4 linked regions of the Drosophila melanogaster genome follow. The protein of the gene in region 4 interacts with the protein of the main gene of each other region in a pairwise test. Each region holds a gene or a part of one and is shown on either strand. Other genes may lie near its edges.

Evidence for each region.
Region 1: the proteins of CG11635 (region 4) and UbcE2H interact in a two-hybrid assay, tested with the Drosophila melanogaster proteins (one large-scale study listed by BioGRID).
Region 2: the proteins of CG11635 (region 4) and tth interact in a two-hybrid assay, tested with the Drosophila melanogaster proteins (one large-scale study listed by BioGRID).
Region 3: the proteins of CG11635 (region 4) and CstF64 interact in a two-hybrid assay, tested with the Drosophila melanogaster proteins (one large-scale study listed by BioGRID).

The regions. Positions count from the first base shown.
Region 1 is NC_004354.4:8,087,783-8,096,108, forward strand, and holds the start of UbcE2H (ubiquitin conjugating enzyme E2H), read right to left. Parts: upstream 6,283-8,326; 5' UTR 5,993-6,282; intron 4,332-5,992; exon of another isoform or gene 4,143-4,331; intron 2,366-4,142; 5' UTR 2,079-2,365; coding exon 1,527-2,078; 3' UTR 1-1,526.
Region 2 is NC_004354.4:13,612,512-13,618,756, forward strand, and holds tth (toothrin), read right to left. Parts: upstream 4,076-6,245; 5' UTR 3,470-4,075; coding exon 3,165-3,469; intron 2,909-3,164; coding exon 1,927-2,908; 3' UTR 682-1,926; downstream 1-681. Other genes in the region: Tango2 (transport and golgi organization 2), read left to right, coding at 4,923-5,064, 5,303-5,425, 5,591-5,891, 6,086-6,245.
Region 3 is NT_033777.3:18,657,634-18,662,002, reverse strand, and holds CstF64 (cleavage stimulation factor 64 kD subunit), read right to left. Parts: upstream 2,386-4,369; 5' UTR 2,299-2,385; coding exon 2,162-2,298; intron 2,099-2,161; coding exon 976-2,098; 3' UTR 877-975; downstream 1-876. Other genes in the region: Cpsf73 (cleavage and polyadenylation specificity factor 73), read left to right, coding at 1-187, 249-691, 755-844.
Region 4 is NT_033778.4:8,356,532-8,360,029, reverse strand, and holds CG11635 (uncharacterized protein), read right to left. Parts: upstream 1,493-3,498; 5' UTR 1,424-1,492; coding exon 563-1,423; 3' UTR 558-562; downstream 1-557. Other genes in the region: spaw (spacewatch), read left to right, coding at 1-517.

The sequences.
Region 1 (8,326 bases), on a different chromosome or scaffold from region 4:
AGTACAGTAGATCGCTAATGTCTATATATCTGCACTTTCATTTGATTTCACTTAAGAACCCGCCTTCTAAAAATCACATCCTCATCAAAATTCCAACCCACCGGATGTTCTCCAATTCTCCATTTCTCCAATTTGATTAACAATTTTAAAAAGCGAGAACGAGGGAGAGAGATGACTAAGAGAGAGAGAGAGAGAGAGAGAGAACAATAAATCATGTAGTAAATGTGGTGTAAAGACAAAATGTATTATAATAAAAAAATATATGCTTTTGGCTTAAACACGGGTGACATAAGTTAGACATAAGAATTATTGCATTTAATTACACGATCAATTCGAATCCTATTTTAAAATATTACATAATAACCGTATAATAAGATTAATTAACAAGAAAAAGAACTGCAACGATTATTCCGTCTGTTCCACGCAATCGCCTCCATGCCTTTCCTCTAGGATTTGTCTTGGCTTTCTATTTCATTTCATTTAGTATCGATCGTATTCACCTTTTGATATATATTTTTTTTACTTTTCGGCAGAGAAAGTGCTGCTAAGTCTGATGATTTTCTGCGGTTTCCAAATATCTTAATACACATATACAGACAATAAAAAAAAATTCGCGCTTACAATTAAACGGAACAAAAACAAGACAAACATATAAAGTACACACTATTACATAAGAACAAATAATAATCCGCAGTTTTGCTGATCGATCGATCGTTCTAAGGTTTCCGTTCCTCTGGATTGCAAATTGGATAATTGGGTTATCGTCGTGTGGTATTTATATGTGGTGAGGGCATTCCAAAAACTTATGTTTGATGGTGGTATTTGTGTTTACGTTTTCTATCAACTTGTTAAACTCTAAAGAACGACGAGCATCGAAGTCTGTTTAATGCCAGATCAAGGCCAAAGCAATTTCTCGTCAAATTTCGCATTGCATGTGCACTTACTATAACCATTTAAATTGCGCTTGCATCTATGCTTTTATCTCTGCTATCTGTATTTTATCGGTTTTGTTTGTTTGTTTGTTTGTGTTTCTATTCTGTTTGTTTCTATTTTGCTCTTCCATCCGTTCCATTTTTTTTTTGTTACTGTGGTCTATATATCTGCTATGATCTGTTGCGATCGTTGCTCCAATCCGTTTTGTTATCAGCTACTGATGGCTAAACTAAGAGTTTTTAAATCTTGTTTTTCTTTCTGCTTACATTAGTGTATATATATATATATATTATGTATATATTTATATGTATCTGCGTGTGTGCGCTGATCATCACACGCCATCATCGAATCACTTTCTATCTTAAAATCCAATTATCATTTATCAATTATGTATATATATATATAGATATATATATATATATATTGTTGCTTTTTGTTCCATCGCCAACTGAAGGGGTATGGTGAAAGTATAAGTGAGTGTGTTTGTTTGGGGAAATTGGGTGGCAGGAAAATGGATTCTCGAAGCATTTGTATTAGGCTGTTGTCAGTGTTAGTGTTAGCGGTAGTTCCGTAGGCTGGCGGTCCAACCGATATTATAATTCCATGTCCCTGGCCTCATCCTCACTGTAGTCGGACATGCTCGACTCGCTGTCGCTGCTCTCCCGCTCCTGCTGCGCCGCCCGCAACGCGTCCTCGGTGGCATAGCGCTGCACATAGTCGGCCACCTTGCGATGATACTCCTCCGGCTCGTGCAGGTACAATGCGGCCGCATCCCGATTGAGCGGATCGACCGGATTGGGATATGTGAGCAGCTGCGGCAAGAACGATTCAAATATGTTCGATAGATCGTACAACGCCGTCCAGGCCTGATTGATAACATCCAGGCACACCGTACCCGAGGATTCGTCAATGTTCGGATGGTAGATCTTGTTCACAAAACCAATGCTCGGTGACTTGAAGGGATAGTTGTCGGGCAGGTAGACGCGCACCTTCCACACGCCGCCCTCGTAGGGCGTCTCCGTTGGACCGAAGAACTTGACGTGGAACTCGTTGAGGCCTCCCAGGATGGTCACCTCGTGCTTTGATTCGATCAGCTTGATCACATCGTTGTCCATGCGTCGCTTTCCGGCACTGGGCGAGGACATTTTGTTGGTTTATTTGGGATTGTAGTTGCCTGGCTTTTGATTTGATTGGTTTGGTTTGATTTGATTTGGTTTTGGAGTGGTCGTCTCCTCGTTGTTTTTCACTAAGGCTAAGGCGGTGTTATCTTTGTTATCTATAAGTTGTATGCTTAATGTTGTTCCTTTGAAATATTGCTATTGAGTTACATCCGCTATCCGCTTCCGGTTGCCCAGCTGCTGCTCCGCCAGCCACGAACTGCTCCGCATTCGTCAACTCTCACTGGCACCGTCCAGAGCAAAACGGGAGCTGCCTGCAATGGCAATTAATGGACACAAGGATAAGCAAGGATATTCAAATTAGAGATAGGTCAGGTGGTGTCATCTATAGCATAGAGACATCAACTTAAGGAAGTATTGGGATGTTACTTGAATACCTATTTACAATTTTGCTTTCTAAGTTTATAGTTTTTCAGACGTTATGGAGTTAAAAATATAGATAGGATATTTTTAAGGAATAAATATATTAAATTTTAAAGTGTTCCTAACATTTCTAATTTTATCCTTTTTTATAAGATGTTCTCTAAAAATGCACATTTAATTACTGGTAATTTTATCACGCAAAAGTTTAACTTAGCCAATTGGGACTGTGGCGCCAAGTCAGGGGATATGATCTGGAGGAGGTCGAGTTACCTTCTGAGTTATCTATGTCCCGTATATATATTTATATTCATGGTTATGTAGGTCACCAGCGAATCTCTTGCTCTCGCACACATACATAGAGAACATGCACATGCATACTTGGCCTAAATGAGGAAACTATGTCAGCAATCTGTGACGTCGTCGCCCAAATCCACCCACTACCACTCCCGCTTTCTCTCTCCAGCTCTCTCACTCTCATTGCCATTTGCAAAAATCGCCGTCCTTCGAAACGGATTTCAGCGGACTTTTGCTGCATACTTTCGGGATACCGTTATGCTCTATTCCCCTCCCCTCCACAGACTCTTTCATCCTTTCTCTCACCACTCACTTGCTCTTGGCGATTTCGTTTCAATTTCAATTCCGTTTCCCGTTTCGGTGGGTGAGGGCTTTTGTGCTAGTTGGTTGGTTGGGTGGCTGTTGTTTTCAAACAAGCTCAGCTGTTTAATGTTGTTGCTCAAAAGTCACGGAGCACTGCCAGAGAGAGAGAGAGAGAGAGCCAGAAAGAGAGTAGAAGAGGGGCAGCCCCACCGCAATCTTGAAATCAACAAATGTACAGTGGGGATGTGAGAAACATGAGCAGATCGATCAGCAACGTAAATCAAACGAACGTTACGGAATTATGAAAACTGTTACACAAATTTCAGGAAAAATAAAATTTTCAAATTATAATATATTCTTTCTGAATATATCGCTTTACCCCACTGTGCCCCATTCTATGGCTCTCCCTCTCTCTTCACCACTCTTCTACGCTTTGGGATGAGCTAATTCTGCTGTTACTGCTGTTACTCTCTTGTACTTTGTCAAGTGTTTGTATGTGATTGTATGTTTCTGTGTGTGTGTGTGTGTGTGTGTGCGCTGGCTCCCCTATCGCCCCCTATCTCTTTTTTTCCTTATGGCCACCACATATCAAAAATCTTTCCGTTTCTGTCTTTCTGTCACGGTTTGGCTTCGTTAGTTTAACAAATTGTGAAATTCTCTTTCGATTTCTGTGTGGAGAAGCATTACTGTGCCTGTTGTTTTTGCTTTTTATTGGCCTTACTGTACGCAATAAGCGAAGTAATACTGTCTCTCGTCGCTGTCGCTGTTGTTGCCTTTGCATTGCATTGCTTTTGTGCAAGACTCTTGAGTGGAAGTGGAAGTGTGCGTGTGTACTTGTGATGCCACCACATGGAAGATCACCAAGCAACCAAGTCAGCAGCAGCAACATCAATAATAAACAAACAAAATAATAAAAGTCAGCTGCAATTTGATGCTTTTGTTGTTGTCTCTTGGAGGTGGAATTCTTTTCACTCTTTATGAATGTCTTCATTTATAATATCACCATTGGCATCACCGTTAAATAATCACACACTTATTAAATATTTAAATTTAAACTTTTTGCAAATATACCTATATAAGACGGATTTTTGTGACTTTGTTATTTACTTGCAACTATTGTTGTGGTTTTTGGTGATGATGTTTTTAGTTGTTGCTGGCCCTCCGTCTCCCCTATCCACATATATCAGCCTACATATGTGTGTGTTTTCGTTTTCGCTCGTTTTGTTGTCTACTTCAACTAGTTACTGAAAATTAACTGGCAACAGAGTTTCGAGCCCCCAAAGCAGAAAGCAGAAAGCAGCGCACGTTGGAGCTCACGAGCATCTGACGGCGACAGCGACGCCAGCATAAAGCAGAGAGCGACAATCGGGAGAGCAAGCGCAAAAGAGAGAAGGTTGGTGGGGGCTGACGGGTGGAAGAAGAGGGACGAGGGAGAGAGAGATTGCTGAGTGCAGTACACGGGAAAAACTAAACTGCGATTCAATTTCAAATTAGAAATATATTTGCGTATGGCAGCTCCAAACACTTAATGAGTACTTAAATAAAGGCAATATAATTATAAAAAAGTAATAAAATAGTTACCAAATTCCTCATATAAACATATTGAAAACGGTGAAATAGAAACAAAATGTAGTCTGCCGAATATATTGCATACTTCAAGGCAAAACCAGATGGTAAATGGAATAAATTTGTTAGCTTCTTTACGTTAAATTTTTAACTTCTTATGTGGCTCTTTTTTCTTAGTGTAATGGACCCCCTTCAAAGGAAAATCATAATAACAAAGCGATGAGCAACAACAAATTGGACGAAGAGAGCCCCTAAAGTAAAGCAAAGCAAAGCAAAGAAAAGCTATAATCAAGGACAGCGACAGCTGTGAAATGCAGCAAAGGCAAAGCAAAGCCAGAAAAACAAGAAGCTAGAGAAAGAAATGAAACGGGAAATGGTAATAGGAGGGGGAGTGGGCTGAAAGGGTAGAGAGACGGGAGAGGCTAAAAAGCCGAAGTGGCGATGCCCTTCAAAATTGCACACATGTCACTGCCTTAGTGTGTGCGTGTGGAGCCTAGCAACAAAATATATACAAATACACATGCCAAAAGCAAATGAAGGAGGAGATTTAACGAGGTCAAATGCAACGGTTAAGCGAAAGGTTCGAAAGCAAACTCAAAATCAAAGTCAAAAATTAGGAAGACGTCTTAGTGGATTTCGTTTTTCGTGTTTTTGCAACCTCCCCCCACACATGCATAATGGGTCATTGACTGCACATGTGTGTGTGTGTACGCTTGTGTGGGGGAGGGGCAGAAAATGGTAGCAAATTGTTGTTGATGTAAAAGCATTCAATTTATTACTCAGCTTTAAAGCGCACATTTAATTGTTCGTGCTGATAAGACTTTTGAAACGCAAAACAGGGGGAGAATCGAAAACACAACGCAATAAGCAGGCCAAAAGCAAAGTGCGTAGTTTTCGGGTAGGTGGGGTAGGGTGGTGTGCAAAAGGGATGGCAATAGCACAACAAAGAAAATATTGCAACTAAGCTAACGGGGGAAGTTATAGAGATCCACATGTATATGTATATGTACAAATGCACGTTCTCAGCTTAGGGCTCCCGACTAACGGCGAATTGCTGGAAACAGAGGTAAATATGTATGTGGCGATTGGAAGTTTGATTTTGAATTCAAGGCAGCAGAATGCGAAATTAGAGAGAGAGGGCGATGGGGATTGCGGGCGCCAAAGAGAGATGGAAAACATTCACAGCTGTGCGGGGGTCAAACTGCTATTGTTGTTGTTGTTCGTCTATGGCTGATGATGTTGTTGTCGCACTCTCCCACACACACACACACTCGCAAATATCCGGGATATATTTTAAATATAAAGTAATTCTATTTTTCATCAAACAATTATGCATACACACACATATTCTGTACCTTTTTATTTTGATTTCTCTCGGTGTGTGTATATTTGCAGTTGCCTCCCGTTTTAGTTGTATTGTTGTTATTGTTGCTCGTGGGTGGTGTTATTGTGGACTGACGGTCGCCGTCGATTCTTACGCTTCGATACTTCTCCACATTTCCGTTTAATCACCGTGATTCCCTGTGCATTTTCCTAGATACTTCGTGTCTAATTACTTAATTAATTTTGTTTTGTTTTCCGGAATATGAAAGACTTGGAAAATTTGTAGTGTGACCAGCGCCTGCAGAGTGTGACCATTGATGACCGTTAAAATATACCGCAAGATTCTCAAAATATACCACTGAACAAAAGTGGTTCAAAGCTTCAATGGCCACAAGTCGAGTTTCAAACCTAAATTATTCTGCGTACAATTTTCAAAAAAAATCAGCTTTCAGAATTTGAAATTTAAACTCGTTGAATGTATACTTGAATTTTTGCATTTATTATTTTCATCTCTTACAATTGTAATTTCGTTCCGTTACATTTTGAATGCGTTTATTAAAACTTGTAATTTGTTTGGTTTTCTGTATTTAGGATCTCTATTTCGTGTTAAAAAATGAGAGGATAACAATCTTTTAAATTAGCTCTATTTGCTTGACGTAAAACGTGTTTGTTTTTGTTAACGTAGTACTTTTAAACATCAATTGTTTTTATTGCAGCTTCGTTTACTCTTTGCCTTATTGTTTTTATTTATTTCTTTTATTTTTCTTGCAAATACCGAGAGTGTTATTTAAATTCAAAATCGAAAGGTACAATTCGTGGCTAATATTGGTTTTAGTTTCTGATTTAGTTTAGTTTTTAACTGTTTGTAAATACTCCTATTCGTTATGAAACTTGGCAAATTAAATTCGTTCATGAATCAGCGCAGCTTGTCTCAATTTTAATATTAATTTAAAAATTAGATCCATACAGGGGTTTTTAAATAGATCTTTTAATATTATGCTCATGCGTTTTGATTAAAATTGGTTTCTTAAACAATATAACAATGGGAATCTCTAAAACTTAAATCAAATTGGATCGCAATGGTTTTAAGGGGGGAAACCACAATAGAAATTTATGGCAAAATGTTGAATTTTATAATTACGTTAACTTTTACTTCAATTCAGGCTGAGGCGAATTTTCAATTTTTTCCTAAGCTATAGGCAGTGTTTTCTAAACCACTTTTCGTTAACTGAAGGGGGTGAAAACTTAAAAGGGTATTGCTTTTTTAAAGTGGAATGATATCAAGATTTCTATACTACGTTTAAGGTAACCAAATCCAATGAAGAATATATATCATATGTGGTTTCCGCCCTCTAATTTTGTTTCATTACTAATCTGGTCTAAAATGTTAATTTTCATTTGAGCTTCGTTGTTTTAACTTTTAAGATTTATAACTGTGACGTAACAATAACAAAGATAGGCCATTGAAATCTGTCCAAAACTCTTTATGTTGTTATCTTGTTGGCTGTATGTGTTTATATAGAGATAGATATAACTTATCCCAGCGGATCGTGCTATCAGAAATAAATACAATATTCCTGCTTTGAAACTAGATTGAGAGGTCCTAGGCCTCTTCGAATCTAACTACTAAATAACATAACAAATACAATAGAGTTGCCTTAAAATTAAAATTTAAAATTATGGATCTTTTCGTTGGATCCGCTGGGAATTTTGTGTTGTTATTTTTTCTTGATAAATAGTGAGAGATATATAGAGAAAATGTGGCTGGTTTGCTGGAGGTTAAAACCCTATAGTTCAGAAAGAAAAGGTATTAACAAGTATTACAAAAAAAAATAAAACTGGTACTGCAATAATTTGTTTTAATATAATTCGGAATTCTGTATACCTTCAAAATGCAAGTGCCACAGTGTGTTCGTGTCTTTTAGTGAGTGAGAAATGCAAATGGTTGTCCTAACTTTCAATGCTCTTGCATAGTTAATTATTTTCAATTTCCAGCCTCCTTAGCCTCCAATTAATAAGTATTTGAGCTTTAACAATTGTCAATGATTTCCTGTTCGGCTTAGTTCTCCATCTCATAGATTATATAAACAAATTTAACATTATATGCTCGTTACATTCGAATCGATTTGGATTTTGCTAGCTGCAAATACTGCGATCATACATCGTTAATATATCAATTGTTTACTTGTAGATTGCAATTAACGTTTCATTCGCATTCGCCATGAATGTATATTTTCATTATAGGTGTATAATTAGGCTATAAATATTATATTCCTCGAAAGATTTCATTCTTTCTTATGCTTCCATCTTCTTTTGTTTTGTCAAAATTTTGAATTCCAAACAAATGGGCAATTGGAACTATAAAA
Region 2 (6,245 bases), on a different chromosome or scaffold from region 4:
TCTAAAGCGGGGTCCACCACGTGCTCGCAAGTTTCCCACTGTGGAGGAGGTATACGATCGGATTGTAGGGATTCTAGGTGACCAGCAGGAGTCCAAGGAACAGATCAACACGCAGAAGTTATCTAAAATTGATTTACCGGGGTCCGAGGCTCTAGCATCGCCAAAGAAGTCGGAGTCCACAGAGGAAGCACAGGAAAACGAGGTAGGGAAGGCCCAATAAGTCCAGAAAAAATTAACTAAATATTGTTTTTATCAAAAACGAAGGCACCAACTTCAACTTCAACTTCGCGTAAATCCAAAAAGGAACAGAAATCCGAGGAAGAGCCAACTCAAGTCGATTCAAAGGAAGCGAAGCAATCCAAAGAGTTGGTCAAAACGAAGAGACAACCGAAAGCCCAAAAGAAGCAGGCAAAGGCATCCGAATCCCAAGAAGAAGTTGCCGAAGATAAGCCCCCTAGCAGCCAGAAACGGAAGCGGACCACCAGATCCTCCACAGACGAGGCTACTGCCGGTGCCAAGCGGAGGAGGTAGTTGTGCCCAAAACAAAGCGTTCAGCAATAGAGCCCTATGATCGATGATTGGCAAATCCTCTCGAGGAACCGATCGTTGAGAACCCCTTTGCCTTTGTTGATCGCTCAATTTTGGATCAAAAACTACATACATGAAAAATACTCGAGCATTGTTATTACAAAATATATTAAAACATCTTAGAAACCTATTTCCATTTTTGTTTTTTTTTTTCATTCTCTTGTGGTTCATTTTTGTCTGATTTTTTGCCTCTCATTCGTTAAAATTTTGTGGACTTTGATTTTTCTTCCAAAATGTACATGTTTTCCTTTTTTGATCTTATTTCAATTTTGTCCCTTCTTAGTTAGTTAAAATTTGTTTTCGTTTTTAGCTCAGCTTAATAATTATGATCCTAGAGAAAAAATTTTGGTTTTACGAAATTGTTTTTACTTTTAGCTTCTTCTAATGCTAGAGATACCCTACCACTTGCCTAAATAGATTACAATCTGAATTGTCTCTTTTTTAACTAAAATTTTGGTTAAATAAAAAAAATTGAATATAATATGTGGGGAGGGGTGGGGAGCTAGGTGAAATAGTATTAAGAACATGCAGCAACAGAAACCGAGAGATTGCGATTAGGTGGAGAGCCAGTCCAAAAGGTGGACTTGCCTTAAGTAGAGTCGCAAATACAATGCATGCAAGTATGTATATATATATATATGTATATAATGTCTGTACACCCATATATATAATGTACAATATAATGCAATGGTCTGGCGAACTGCTCTAAGCAAAACTTCGGAAACCAGATGTGAAATATAGTCGTGTATTGCAAAACTATACATAGTTCAAATTGTGCTGTTTCACTTATGGCATAGATGATGCCCGAAAATAATTGATTACGAATTGCCTAACGATGACGAAAAAGGTTCTTTTTAAATTCATTGTCTAACTTATACAACGTTAATAATTGATGGCCTAAAGGGTTTCCTACATTACAAAATTGCTCGAAGAATATTTGCTACATCCATAAGTTTCCGCTCAAGTTATCCTATAGTAGAAGTTCACCAGTCCATTGCTAGTTTAAAAAACAACAATCAATTGGCTATGGGAACGTAAAGTTAAGAGAGGCGAAACATTGGAATTGTATTGGCTACGGCCTGGTGCGCGGTTCTGATCGTTATCCTGATTCTAATCCTGTTTCTGTCCCTGGTCCACAATGTATTTGTTTCCTTTCTTTCATTTCTTGCTTGGCTTTTATCCTTTTGTCGGAGGGGGGCAACAAACAGTGATCAACTAAGGCTTAAAAACTATATTTAAATTATGTGCGAAAAAGTAGGTCGATTCAATAGGCGAGAAAACATTGCGAAAAACAAGGCTTTGATTGATTACACGTCCAGTTAGTTGCTGATAGAGCGGTTACAGATACTTCCGATAGTTGCGCAGATGGGCGTTCGCGTCCTCGACCACGCCCACCGCAGCAGCGGCACTCTCGAAGGATGGTGGCTCGATGACCATGCCGGGACTTGTCGGATCGCAAGACGCTCCAACGGCGCTATTTGGCCCCTTGGCTCGTCGCCTGCCACGTGTTCCCGCTCCCCGCGATCTGCGGCTGTTGGCCGAAGCTCCCGATGCTCCTCCTCCGCCGCCGGATCCCGAAACTCCCGCTAAGCCTGCTCCCAGGCTGCCGCTTAGGATGCCTCCGCTGGAGATTGGTCCTCCATTGCTGCCTGGCACACTCTCGCCAGATTCAATGGCCTCCAGCGATGCGTCCAGCGCCGCATCCGTCGTTGTGATACGCGACCTGGCCGCTGCACTGCGTCTCCGCGAGCTGGAGCTACCGCCGGAATTGCCGCCACCGCCGGCGCCTCCTCCACCACCACCGCCGCCGGAATCTCCACCTCGCTTGCCTGGTCGCCGCTTGCGCCTTTTTTTGTTACCATAGCGCGGATCATAATCGTACTCATCATCCGCCGGCGATTTGGGCTCCTCCAGCGAGTCCACATCGTTCATATCCATGTCATCGTAGAACCACTCCTTGGGCAAAAGCTCCTCTTTGACGGCCTGCTGCTGGTGCTGGTGCTGCTGATGTTGTTGCTGTTGACTGTCCTTGCTGTCGGATGTATCACCGCCGGCGGCACCCAGCGAGCTGGACTCCTCCAGGCTGAAGGCTCCATTAAAATCGTGGGCAGTGTCACTGTGCAGGGAACCAAGTACGGCCGGCGCGGCTCCGCCGCCCGTAAGCATATTGAGCGTTAGGGAGGAGCTGCTGGCCAGGCTATTGCTGCCGGGCATGGAGCCCACACCGCTGGTCAGGCTGCTCAGTCCCAGATTGACGCCGCTGGCCACCAGAGCTTCGTGCTCCTTGCGTAGCGCCTGGAAGGGACGCTCGGGAAAGCGGCTGTATAAGTGGAAAGTTCGTTATTAGCAGGGATAAATATGGAGCTCACCCAACGAAAAATGTAGGATTTGATGAGATTGAATGGCATATACACAGATGATATTCTTCTAACCTAACTCGTTTTAAATAAGATTACCATAGGTAACAGACTCCTAGATTTCCAAGCTCTAATTTGCTTCGCCAGAGTTATACCTAACTTTTCCTTGTGCATGTGCCAGTCACTCAAATCCCGCACCGATTGGTTACGATTCCTCACCTGTACATCTTGCTCAAGTACTGACGACGGCTCTTCCGCCAGCGGGCCGCCGGATACGTGTAGATCTGGCCCTGCCGGAAGCCGGGCATCCGCTGTCGCTTGTCCAGGAAGAGCTGCGAGTGGTTCTGGGCGACGCCTGTCTGCGGATCGAGGAAGGGCAGCCGGTGGCGCCGTTCGCTGCACAGGCGCGTGTTGAAGTTGGCACTGTACTCGATCGTCTCCCGGTAGCTGACATCCTTCAGGAAGCTCTCGATCTTGGCCAGATTCGGCATAGAGACGATCTGGATGTTAACGGCGGAGGACATGGCTGTTCCTGGTCCTAATCCCACTGTTGGCTAACCTCAGAGTCCGGCTGTGCCGCTAATCCATCCCAGAGTCTTGGCAATTTCCGCTCCGCTCCGCCCCGTTTCTTATCGCAATTTTTTTCCAGTGTGTTGTGTTCCGTTTCTTATCGCTTTTCGCTGCCTGTTTTTTTTATTCTTCTTCGTCTTCCACCTCTCCTCTCGACCGACACATACACGCACGCACACACACACACACGCAAAGCTCTCTATCGATGTGACCCCGCGCCAGGGGGCGTGGGCGGCAGTGGGCGTGGCGAGGGCGATACGTTTAGATCGCGATCTGCGGCCGGATTTTCCAATTGTTTAATTGATCAGAAATATTAACGTCGTTTTCACTGCTCTGCTGAATGCCAGTGTTACCAGATGGCGACATGATTTTCCCCCCAAATGTTCTCGACCGACCGGTATTTTTGTCCTAAAAAATCCACTCTTTCGCTTTAATTTTAGCGATCAGTTTTCTTACCAATTTAAGGGCCTGTATAGGTCTGTTAGTTAATTTATGCATTGCAGTGCATAGCTATGTAATGGTATTTTCTAGTTTTAATTACAAGCCTATGTTACAGGGTTTTTGGTTAGTTTTCAAACATCGATAAGTTGTAAGCCAATCGATTGCCGGGCCCACGGTCATACAATAGAGATGGGCAACTGGCGATAATGCCTACCTACCTGTTACGCCAATTTCAAAATAGTAGTTTGTTATCTGGATCGGCACAGGCGACAAAAAAAACTAATATGTTTATATATACGTTATATATGGCTTTGGAAATAAATTACACAATCATATTGGTCAATCATTGTTTCAGCGCACGATGAGGAACTAAAATCTTCAAATTTAAAAGTACAAATTAAGATAAGTCATAGACTGCACAAATAAATAATTAGCAATTAATAAAATAGCTAAAAGAATATTGCACAGGGCAGCAGAGTGTTAACGATTTTCTTATCGATTCTCCTGTCAGCTGGCAACGCCAAAACAAAACAAAAACAAAATTAAAAGAGAAATCAAAACAAGGCAACCCGGTCATTGAAATTTCAGAAAATACTGCTTTGTTTGCGTTAACGGGAATGCTTTTTGCCCCGTAGATATGTATATATCACATAGAGGCACGGCTCACAGAGAACACCCACCAATCCAAACCATTTACATTTACCACTTAGATTAGCTGGTCTCGCAAACAACGGATAAGACTGTATATCAGCTGTACGTACGTACGGCTATTTGGTGATAAAACCGGCGCTATAGTTCCACTGCCACAAAGTAACAAAGAGAAGACTGAGCCGAACAACCTGCCATTTTGATACCGACGCCCCACCGAGATTAAAGCCCACTTTTCCGGATCCCATTCGCAGTTGTCCCACAACCTCAAGGCACTACAAATCGCAACAATAGCCAAATAAGTATAGGATTCCGACGATGTGCGTGATATTCTTTTGTGCGGACTCGAATCCGCAACCGGGTGGCTACAAGCTCATCCTGGCCTCCAATCGGGACGAGTTCTTTGCCCGCGCCACCCTATCGGCAGCCAAGTGGGCGAATGCCGATCATGTTTACGGAGGTAAGTGGTGGGGCTTATGCCCTTGAATGCCTATGCTTAGATGGAGTATAATCCTTGAGAGCTTGTATTCATCAAGATGTTACCTATAGTTTAGTCACTAAGATGATTTGATAGCAGTTTGTTAGAATGAACACCTCTCACAAGATCTGTTTCCCAGCAACCTAATTGGATTTCAAGCCATCTTACCCATGAGTGCGGGATCAACTTGAGTAAATATTTATGTATTCCCCCATTTCAGGGATCGATCTGGAGCCGGGACGCGAGGGCGGCACCTGGCTGGCGATCGGCCACTCCGCTGGCTTCTTTAAGGTGGGCGCCCTGCTCAATCTGACCGGCGAGCCCAAGCCACGCGATGCAGTTGGTAAACCCATTTGAGCTACTTACTAATCCAAATTGACGCGCACACACACGCACACACACTCATCCATACACCTAACACTTGGCCCGAACTAAAACTTTCACAACCGCGACCAAAGAAAAAGCAAAGCAAAAACAAACTTTCTTCGTTTCTGTTTTCTGTTTGAAGCGCACAAAAACATTTTGCAACCGCATAATCACAACAGCAACAGCACCGGCATTAACCTTTGCCCCAAGACCACCACCTCCAACAGCTACCGTCATCCGAATCCGAATCCAATTCAGAACCCGAATACGAATCCGAGTAGGGGGCAATCGAATAACGAACATTTCTTACTAGGGCGCGGCATGATTGTGGCGGACTATGTTACCCGGGCGGACGAGGAGCACAGCATCCTGAACTACAACGAAAGGCTGCTCAAAGATTGCACCAAGTATTCTGCCTTCAACTTTGTGTCCATCGAAATTGGGTGAGTCTGCGCCCATTCAGGTTAACCTGAATTATTATATATTCTAATTATATGCATATTAGTATGTACATATATTGCTTTATGCTGTCTTTATCTCCGAATTATACGTATAAATTCTGAATAATATGCAATAACATTAGGGAACCATTAGCGAAACATTGATACCATCTACTGCACGCCTTCGTTCTCAACAGATCTGCATCCCAGCCCGCTCGCGTGAAGCTGCTGAGCAATGTGCCGCCCACGCTGGAGGATTTCCAGAACGGCGAGTGCTACGGATTTGGCAACAGTCTGCCGCACTCTCCGTTCGAGAAGGTGCGTCATGGCAAACAGGAGTTCGAGGCGATCGTTAAG
Region 3 (4,369 bases), on a different chromosome or scaffold from region 4:
AGCACGGATATAAAATTCTACAACCCGCGAAACACACATGCCGTGGATCTTTATTTCCGTGGCGAGAAAACCGCCAAGGTGATGGGAAGCCTCGCAGCCAAGAACTCGGAGGTGGGAAGCAAACTCTCAGGTGTTCTGGTTAAGCGCGACTTTAAGTACCACCTCTTGGCTCCTTCTGATCTGGGCAGTAAGTAATAGTTAGTTAGTTTCTTTGTAAAAATGTCGATTCATTTAAATAATTCCCACAGAATACACGGATATGAGCATGTCTGTTGTAACCCAACGCCAGTCGATTCCCTGGGGCAGCTCGCTGAGCACTCTAGAGCTACTGCTGGATCGCATTGGAGCCGGATGCGTTGAGGTGCTGGAGGCGGAGCGAAAGCTGCGCGTGTTCGGCTGCATCGAGCTAACTGTGGAGCAGAAAATCATTGTGATGGAGTGGCAAGCGACGCATGTGAATGATGTGTACGCCGATGCCGTTCTTGCCTGCATCATGCAATCGGAGTTGGGCGGAACAAATCTGAAGGGTGCCACAAAGCAAACCAAGTCAGAGGACTCGCGCTTTCGGGAGTGCCTAATCGAGACGCTACAGGACACCTTCGGCGACAACTGCGTGCCAAAAATGTTCGAGGGCGATCTGCTGCCAGTGACGGTGAGCGGTAAACGTGCGGAAATAAATCTGGAAACCCTGGTGAGTGTTCGTCGAAGGTGCTTTTTAAAATCGAAAAATATCGTTAATCTACAATCTTTCCAGGCCATCAGCTGTGCCGAGGATGATGTGCTGCGACAAATGCTCAATACGACGGTTCAGAAGTTACACCAGACCCTAGTCTCCGCTCTTTGAAAACCATTCTATTCCGCTTAATAAATCTCCTTGTGTTGAAATGTTCTTTTTATTAATTGATTCAATGTTGAAAGTACTATAGTATGCATGAGCGAAATGGTGATTTTTCATTTGTTTCAGCCAGAGTAGTTTCAGCGCTGGGTACTCTTCGCAATCTGCTCTTTGAGCATGACAATACTGACCCGTTGCTCGGAGGGCAGCTGCGCAATCTGTTCGTCGGACAGCTGCAGTACCTGCATGATGAGGGCAGCCTTCTCCTGGTCGGAGGCATCCGAGGGCAGGACTCCATGGGCGCCTAGTCTGCTCTGCAACTGCTGAGCGGCCGCCTGCTGTTGTTGTGTCGGTGGCGGCGCTTGGGGGATTCCTTGTGGCGGCGCCTGCTGCTGAGGACCAGGTCCTGCCCTTAACCTGGGATCCATGGGACGCTGGCGCGGATCGCTGGGATAGGGGGCCGGTGGCGCCTGCGGAACGCCCTGCTGCTGCTGTGGGGGCATCTGGGCACGAGCTCGGGGATCCATCAGCGGCGGTGGCACTGGATTGGGTAGAGAAGCTCGCAAATCCTGGTCCATGCCACGGCCCATCATCCTGGGATCCATCGGCATGGGTCCACCCGGCACCATGCGCAAATCGATATCGTTCGGATGGACATTGGCCGGGAAGCCAGGTCCGGGAACGGGCATTGGTGGCTGGGGAGCCTGTTGCTGTTGCTGCGGGATCTGCACCTGCTGTTGCGGAACCTGTTGCTGACCCATCATGGTGTGATTCCCCGGCCCCTGGTGCGGATTGCCGCCCAAGACGGGGGGCATTTGGTTGGCCTTGAAGAGCATCCCGAGCGCCTGCTGAGGGTCCACGATCCTCATAACCACCATGGCCTGGAGCAAAGCGTACGCCAACTGAGGATTGAGCATTAGCATCTGGCGTGCCTCCGATGGATTGCTCACGATGCAGAGCTTCATCTGCTTCATCAGCTCGTACATTTGCTCCGGCGGCAAGGAAGCCACCGTTTTGGTGATGAGCTCGGGAGCATCCTCTGGTTCGCAGGGCTCGCCATAGGGATTCTCCACCTGGGGTCCCTGAAGCAGCTGCTGCATCTCCATGCGCGACTTCTCCGTACACGCGTTGTCCACTCGCAGTGTTCTGCCGCCGATCTCATAGCCATTCAGATTCCGCATGGCACTTAAAGCCGTCTCCTGGTCCTTGTACTCGCAGAAGCCAAAGCCCTTGGGTTTGCCACTTTCCCGATCAAAGACCAGTCTGGGGGATTGAGAATAGGAGGTTTACAGTGAGATATTGCATGGCTCTAAGTAGGGAACTCACTTCAGTGACAAGACCGGGCCCACTTCGCTGAAAATCTCCTTTAGCTTCTCCTCGGTGGCCTCGTAGGGTATGTTCCCCACAAAAACCGACCGCATGGACTTGTCCATTATACTTTGTTCCTGCGCCTTATCTGCCATATCTGTTGTTTGTTATTATTTACTGCACAAACTCGACAAAATCTTAGCAAACGTTGACAAACTTGTCTAAAAAATTCCCTGCGTTCCGGCTTGCTGTTTCTTCTTCTTCCTTGAATAATTTCCCTTACCAGGGATTCATACTTTTCATATACTTTTTGGGAAATAAAGCGGTATGGGACGCAAAATATTAAACAAAGTGTAATAACAGATACGCAAGCCATTTTATTTTATTTTCTTATCTAAACACCTGAGAAAATAATTAACAGTATTGGTCTAATTTTTGGGATTCTCATCCATTGCCATCACTTAGAAACGTAGTATTTAGCAAGAAAATAGCTAAATGCCCTGCTTAGCCAAAAATACCACCACTGCTAGTGCTGGTAAGTTCCCGCAGCCCGCATACGTTTTGCAGCACTCCAACGCCTGGTGTTGTAATTTTTCTTGTCGCAAGGTGAAAACGATTTAAACGGTTTTTGATAGTGAAAAGTGCACCAATATGCACGAATTGTACACCAAATTGTAGATGAAAGTGGCGTTTATTCGTTTTCTATGCGGCAATAGACAAAAAACGGCTCGAAGTGCATGAAAAACGTGCTTGAAAATATTACTTTGTGTGTAGCCACACGCACTCCAACACACACAAACGCACACACACACAGACAGAGGGAGATAAACGCAGCGATGGCCTCGCAGTCGCACTCGCACATATAAAAAGCTCGCTTGTATATTGGAAGAAGGAGCGCACAAAGCGGAAGACGAGAGGAAAGATTTCTGTGTCATTGAACGAGAAAAAGAAGAGAAGAGAGCCTCCTGGCTCCTGGTCCTCCTGTTCCAGTTCCTCCTCCAACTCCACTTCCTCTTCATCTTTAAGCGGCCGCAGGTGCACCACGCTCTTTACATTTCCAAGGATACGCTCTCAGCCGCTCTCTCTCTCGATCGATACTGGTAATTAGCTGGCGTCCTCTCTTTGTGGAAGTGTCATTCCATTCCATGGACGAAACGAAAACGAAATCGATGGCAATGGCTGGTGAACAAAAGCGGAAATATGTGCATTTTTAAATTGTGTGTGTCTGTAATTATGTGAATAATAATCAGCAGAAAAAAATCGTACAATAAGTGGCAAGATCAGCGACATTAACGCACACAAACAAGCGCGCGTGTGTGCACACTGGAAAAAAGGTTGGCTGGCGATTGTTGTCGCTGCAAACTGGGATACTGGAATAAATCATAATGCATTTACGCACCGTGTGCTCCTCAATTTTTCGACAGTCTGTGTGTGCATGTGTGCATGTGGGTGTTGTGTGTGCGTGGTGTGTGTAACCTTTGGCAAAGGAAAAATCAATAGCAACAGACGTAGACATTTGTTTGCCGCTGTTTATGTGCAGCCCTCGCATTGTCCTTCGCCCCCAAAACAAAGAGCCACCCTTGCAGAGATGGCCAAATCCCAAAAAAGAAACAAGTGAATGTTGGTCTGCAGACAGACTATAAATAAAAGCAAAAGTTATCGCAAAAGGCAAGCAGCAAAAGGCAAACCAGATGAACGGCCAATAACTCGTCAGCAGGCTGGGTCTGGGTCGTTGCCTCTTTTTTTCCGATTCTGATTCCGTTTCTTCCTGCTGCTCTGGCTCCCCGAGAGAAAAAAGCTGCTCCAGAAGTTGTCTCACCCATCTGCAACCGGCATTCCAATCCGCCATTTCCATTGCCCAAACAGGACCTTCTAATCAGAATTCTTATGTTGCTCTACTCAGAGAATGTGGTTAATATGAACGGATTCGAATATAAGACATGGCTTTACTAAATCAATAGAATCGATTTAAAATGGCACCTCTGATTTCGAAAATGTGGAATCGACTTTAAGGGTGACTGTGTTGAGGTTGGGTCTGCTTTGTGCTAGAAAAGTTTATTGACTCTTGTTCTCTCATTTTGATCCTTTGCGATCCTCAATTATTAAATATGCCTTGTATGTTTAATTGTACTTATTTGGTAGCTTTCTAAAGAACAAAATAATTACTGGTAAACCAAAATCATTATAATCATCATATTAGAAATGCACTCGCTGTTGAAACAATTT
Region 4 (3,498 bases):
CGAGATGGAAGCAAATCAGTCTTTGGATTCTGAGTTAACCGGTGAAATAACTAATCAATCTAGTTCGGTAGTTTCAGAGTCTTCGATTTCCGATGAGGACTTCGGGGAGGAGCTAATAAAACAATCTCACAAAATCGAGCAAATTGCGTCTGCTGGCGATACTCAAGAGTCCAGTCCTTCAAAAACCAATGAGAATACTCCCAAGACTGATGACACGCAGGACACTCAGCCTAAGGAAACCATACACACCTACAGGCCCTTTAGGACTATCGAAGTTCCTGCCAAGAAGCCTACTAGTAGCCTTAGCACCGAGTCAATTGAAGAGCAGCCGTTGAACCAGGAACCCCAATTCGGCACAGGTATCCATTTAGATAGAGAACGGTACAAAGTTTCTGCTCAGCTGACCGAGTCCGAGTCCCGCTTACTTATGCGCATGGCTCTGAAGCAGGCTTTAATCGATCTGGAGTCTGGCCAAAGCAAGTACAAAGCAACAATTCTGGAGGCTGAAACCGAGTAATACAAGAGCACCAATGACCAAAGAAATAAACATAACCTTTAAAACTTATTTTTTATTTTTATCCTTGTTCTTATCTTTCTTCTTATCCGTGCCCTTATCCTTCTTATCCTTTTTCATCTTCTTGAGCATGTCTTTTCTCGCCTTCTTGGCCTTTTTTATGGCACTGGGACAGACGTGGTTCTCACCATGAATTTTGACCCACTGACGACCCCGCTCCGCTTCGCAGAGGCTCAGGGGGAATCGGCACTCGCACTCGCGAGGTCGATATGGTCGCTTGGCCAGCTTAGGCTGCTTACAATCCGACCAGCAGGGCATCGGTGCACACAACCTGCGGCAGCAGGAGGGCGTCTTGGCCGCGTGGCATCTGGGCGGACGACGTCCTGGCACGCATCGTGCCAACGGAGCGAAATGGGGACATGGTCCTGTGGCTGTGGCACTGAGCGTTGTCCGCTCGCGCCGCTCGGCCACCCGACGGGCGGGGCTCAGAGCCTCCAGCTTGTCGTAGGCGCAGATTATCTTCTTGCGGATCATGAACTTGGGGCACTCCACCCAGTGGCGCTGGTAAGGACCGTTCTTGCAGGAGGGACGGTAATACAGCTCGTCGAATGAGGGCAGTGGTTTGGTGCAGTTGGGTTCGCAGCACAAGTCATTTGATCGGCTGACCACGAAGGGGTACGGCGGAGGCAGGTTCTTCGGCGGATCCCACATCGACTTGAACTTATCCCCTTCGGCGCAGAAGGCGGCCGGAATGCAGTGCGTCCGGATCTTGCATTCTCGTTTGGCAGAAGGAGACTTTGGTGGAGATGGTGACGATGGTGGCTTCGGTGGACTTGGAGGTTTTGGGGGTTTATTCGAGGAGCCGCTCTGACGTGAGCTGAAGCCCCTTAGTAGGGAGGACCAAAACATTAGCCGAAACTTTTAATGAAAGTGGAATTTTGAAAATTTTTGTATACCGTAACGCCGTTACATGAATCGCTAAATTAAAATTTTTTGCTTGGTATCCGAAATTTCGATCGAGGCCTACTGGACGAAAAAGAGCTGGTTGAAAATTGGAGAAAATCGGAAGAGGGTCCTGTCGCACACATTCACTTCTCCTGCAACTCAACTTCAATGCAACGGCGACAGGCAACACAAAATTGCAAACAGCGGACTGCGCATGTTTAAATTTAATTGAACATTTAGCCAAATTAAAATGCATTTTATTACGCAGCCGCTGTTTCTGGCCTGGAAATGCAAAACAACGCGCGCCCAATCAGCCAGGCCAAGTCAAGTAAATCCAGCGGAGTTGGCCATACGCGCAGATAGACGGAGGAAAAGGCAGGCCACACTGGAAGAAATACAATAAACATATCCAGAATTCGCATATCTACTCAGTTCAGATAATCAACTCGAGATAAATCCATCCACGATGATAAACAAACAGTAACAAGAGTATTGAATGTATACTATTCGTCCGTATTGGTTGCAATTTTTTCCAGTGTAAAGACACAGGCACGGCCAAATCGAAAGACGCTGACTGGGCCTAGGCACGCAACGGTTATTCAGTTTTGTCGGTTTTTCGATTTGGCCTTAAGTTGGCTAGGCAGTGCCTATGCGAAATTTGGCACAGATTCGCGGCAGATTCGATGCTATTCGGCTGGGATCGGATCGGATTTTGGATTGGACCGAGGCGGAACTGCGAGTTGCAAACTGGTTGGAGACAGGCCTAGCAAGCATGCGTTCTGCAATTGTTTAATAGCCTAATTAAGTGTGCGAGCGAACAGGTTGGCCAGGCCGGGAAAGTCGGAAAATCAGAGAATCGGAAAAGTCGGGCATATGCAAAGCCAAAGGAGCAGAGCGACTGTCATGCTTCACCAAGAGAGATGTGATGTGAAGTGATGTGACGGGACAGTGACTGCCATGCGGGTGGTTTGTCAGCTGCTAATGCCAGTCTGTCTTTATTTTCCTCTTTCTATTTTTTACTCCTTGTTCTGGCTTGCAATTACATTTGGCTGTTAATTGCATTATGCATATTTATGGTAGCTCTCCGGCTGCAGCTCCTCCCCCGGCAATCGAGTTAGGTCCGGAGCAGGATCAGGAGGCAGAGATGAGCAAGGAGCAAGGGAAGCAGACGGATCCGGCGACAATGCCGGCTCATTAGCATACATCAGCGCGTTAAGCTCGGAGCGAGTGTCTGACTGAGTTACGACCAGCTTTCCACTGTCTGCAGCTGCCGTCATCATCACCATCGCCATCGCCATCGCCATCGCCATCGCCATCATCATCTTCCTCGTAGTCATCGTCATCCAGTGAGTGGCTTAGTGGGTGTTGCCCTCTAATTTAAATTAAAATATGAAAAATACTCAACGAGTGAAAAGGGGTTTGGTTGCGAACAAAAACATCACGCTGCGAAAACTGAGAAACGTGCAGAAAAATCAAATCTAAAATAGCTGCTGGACATGGCATAATCAAATTGTGCGCACTGGGAGAGTAGGGAAAATCATATTTGCCAGGAGATTGTTGTCGCTGTGTGTGCAGCTGCAACTAATTATATTATTAAGATTTAAGATAATTTTTTATGCTTCTGCATTTCACAGATAAAATGAAACCAAAAAAATATAGAATAAGGCATATAGAAAGGTATAGCTCATATTTCAGGCACTGGCAAATAAATGGCAACATATCACACCATATTATAGAATAAACACAAATTGTATGATTCCAGCAATTTTCATAAAATATGTATATCTCTGTATATCCCACACACTAAATTCCTGGCCTGAATTACTCTTCACTGCTTTTGCTCGCCAACACCCAAGGTATTTTCACTGGAATGTCCAAAAGCCATGCTCTCAGTCGAAGTTTTCTTGGCTCAAGAGTGCGTGGGGTTCCTAGAAGTAGCGGAGAAAGCTGAGCGACTTGGCTAGGAGACATTCGGCCAAATGGAACCTTCTGCTCGCCTGGTGGGCCCAAATGCTGCGACGAGAGAGTGCGAGGATGCC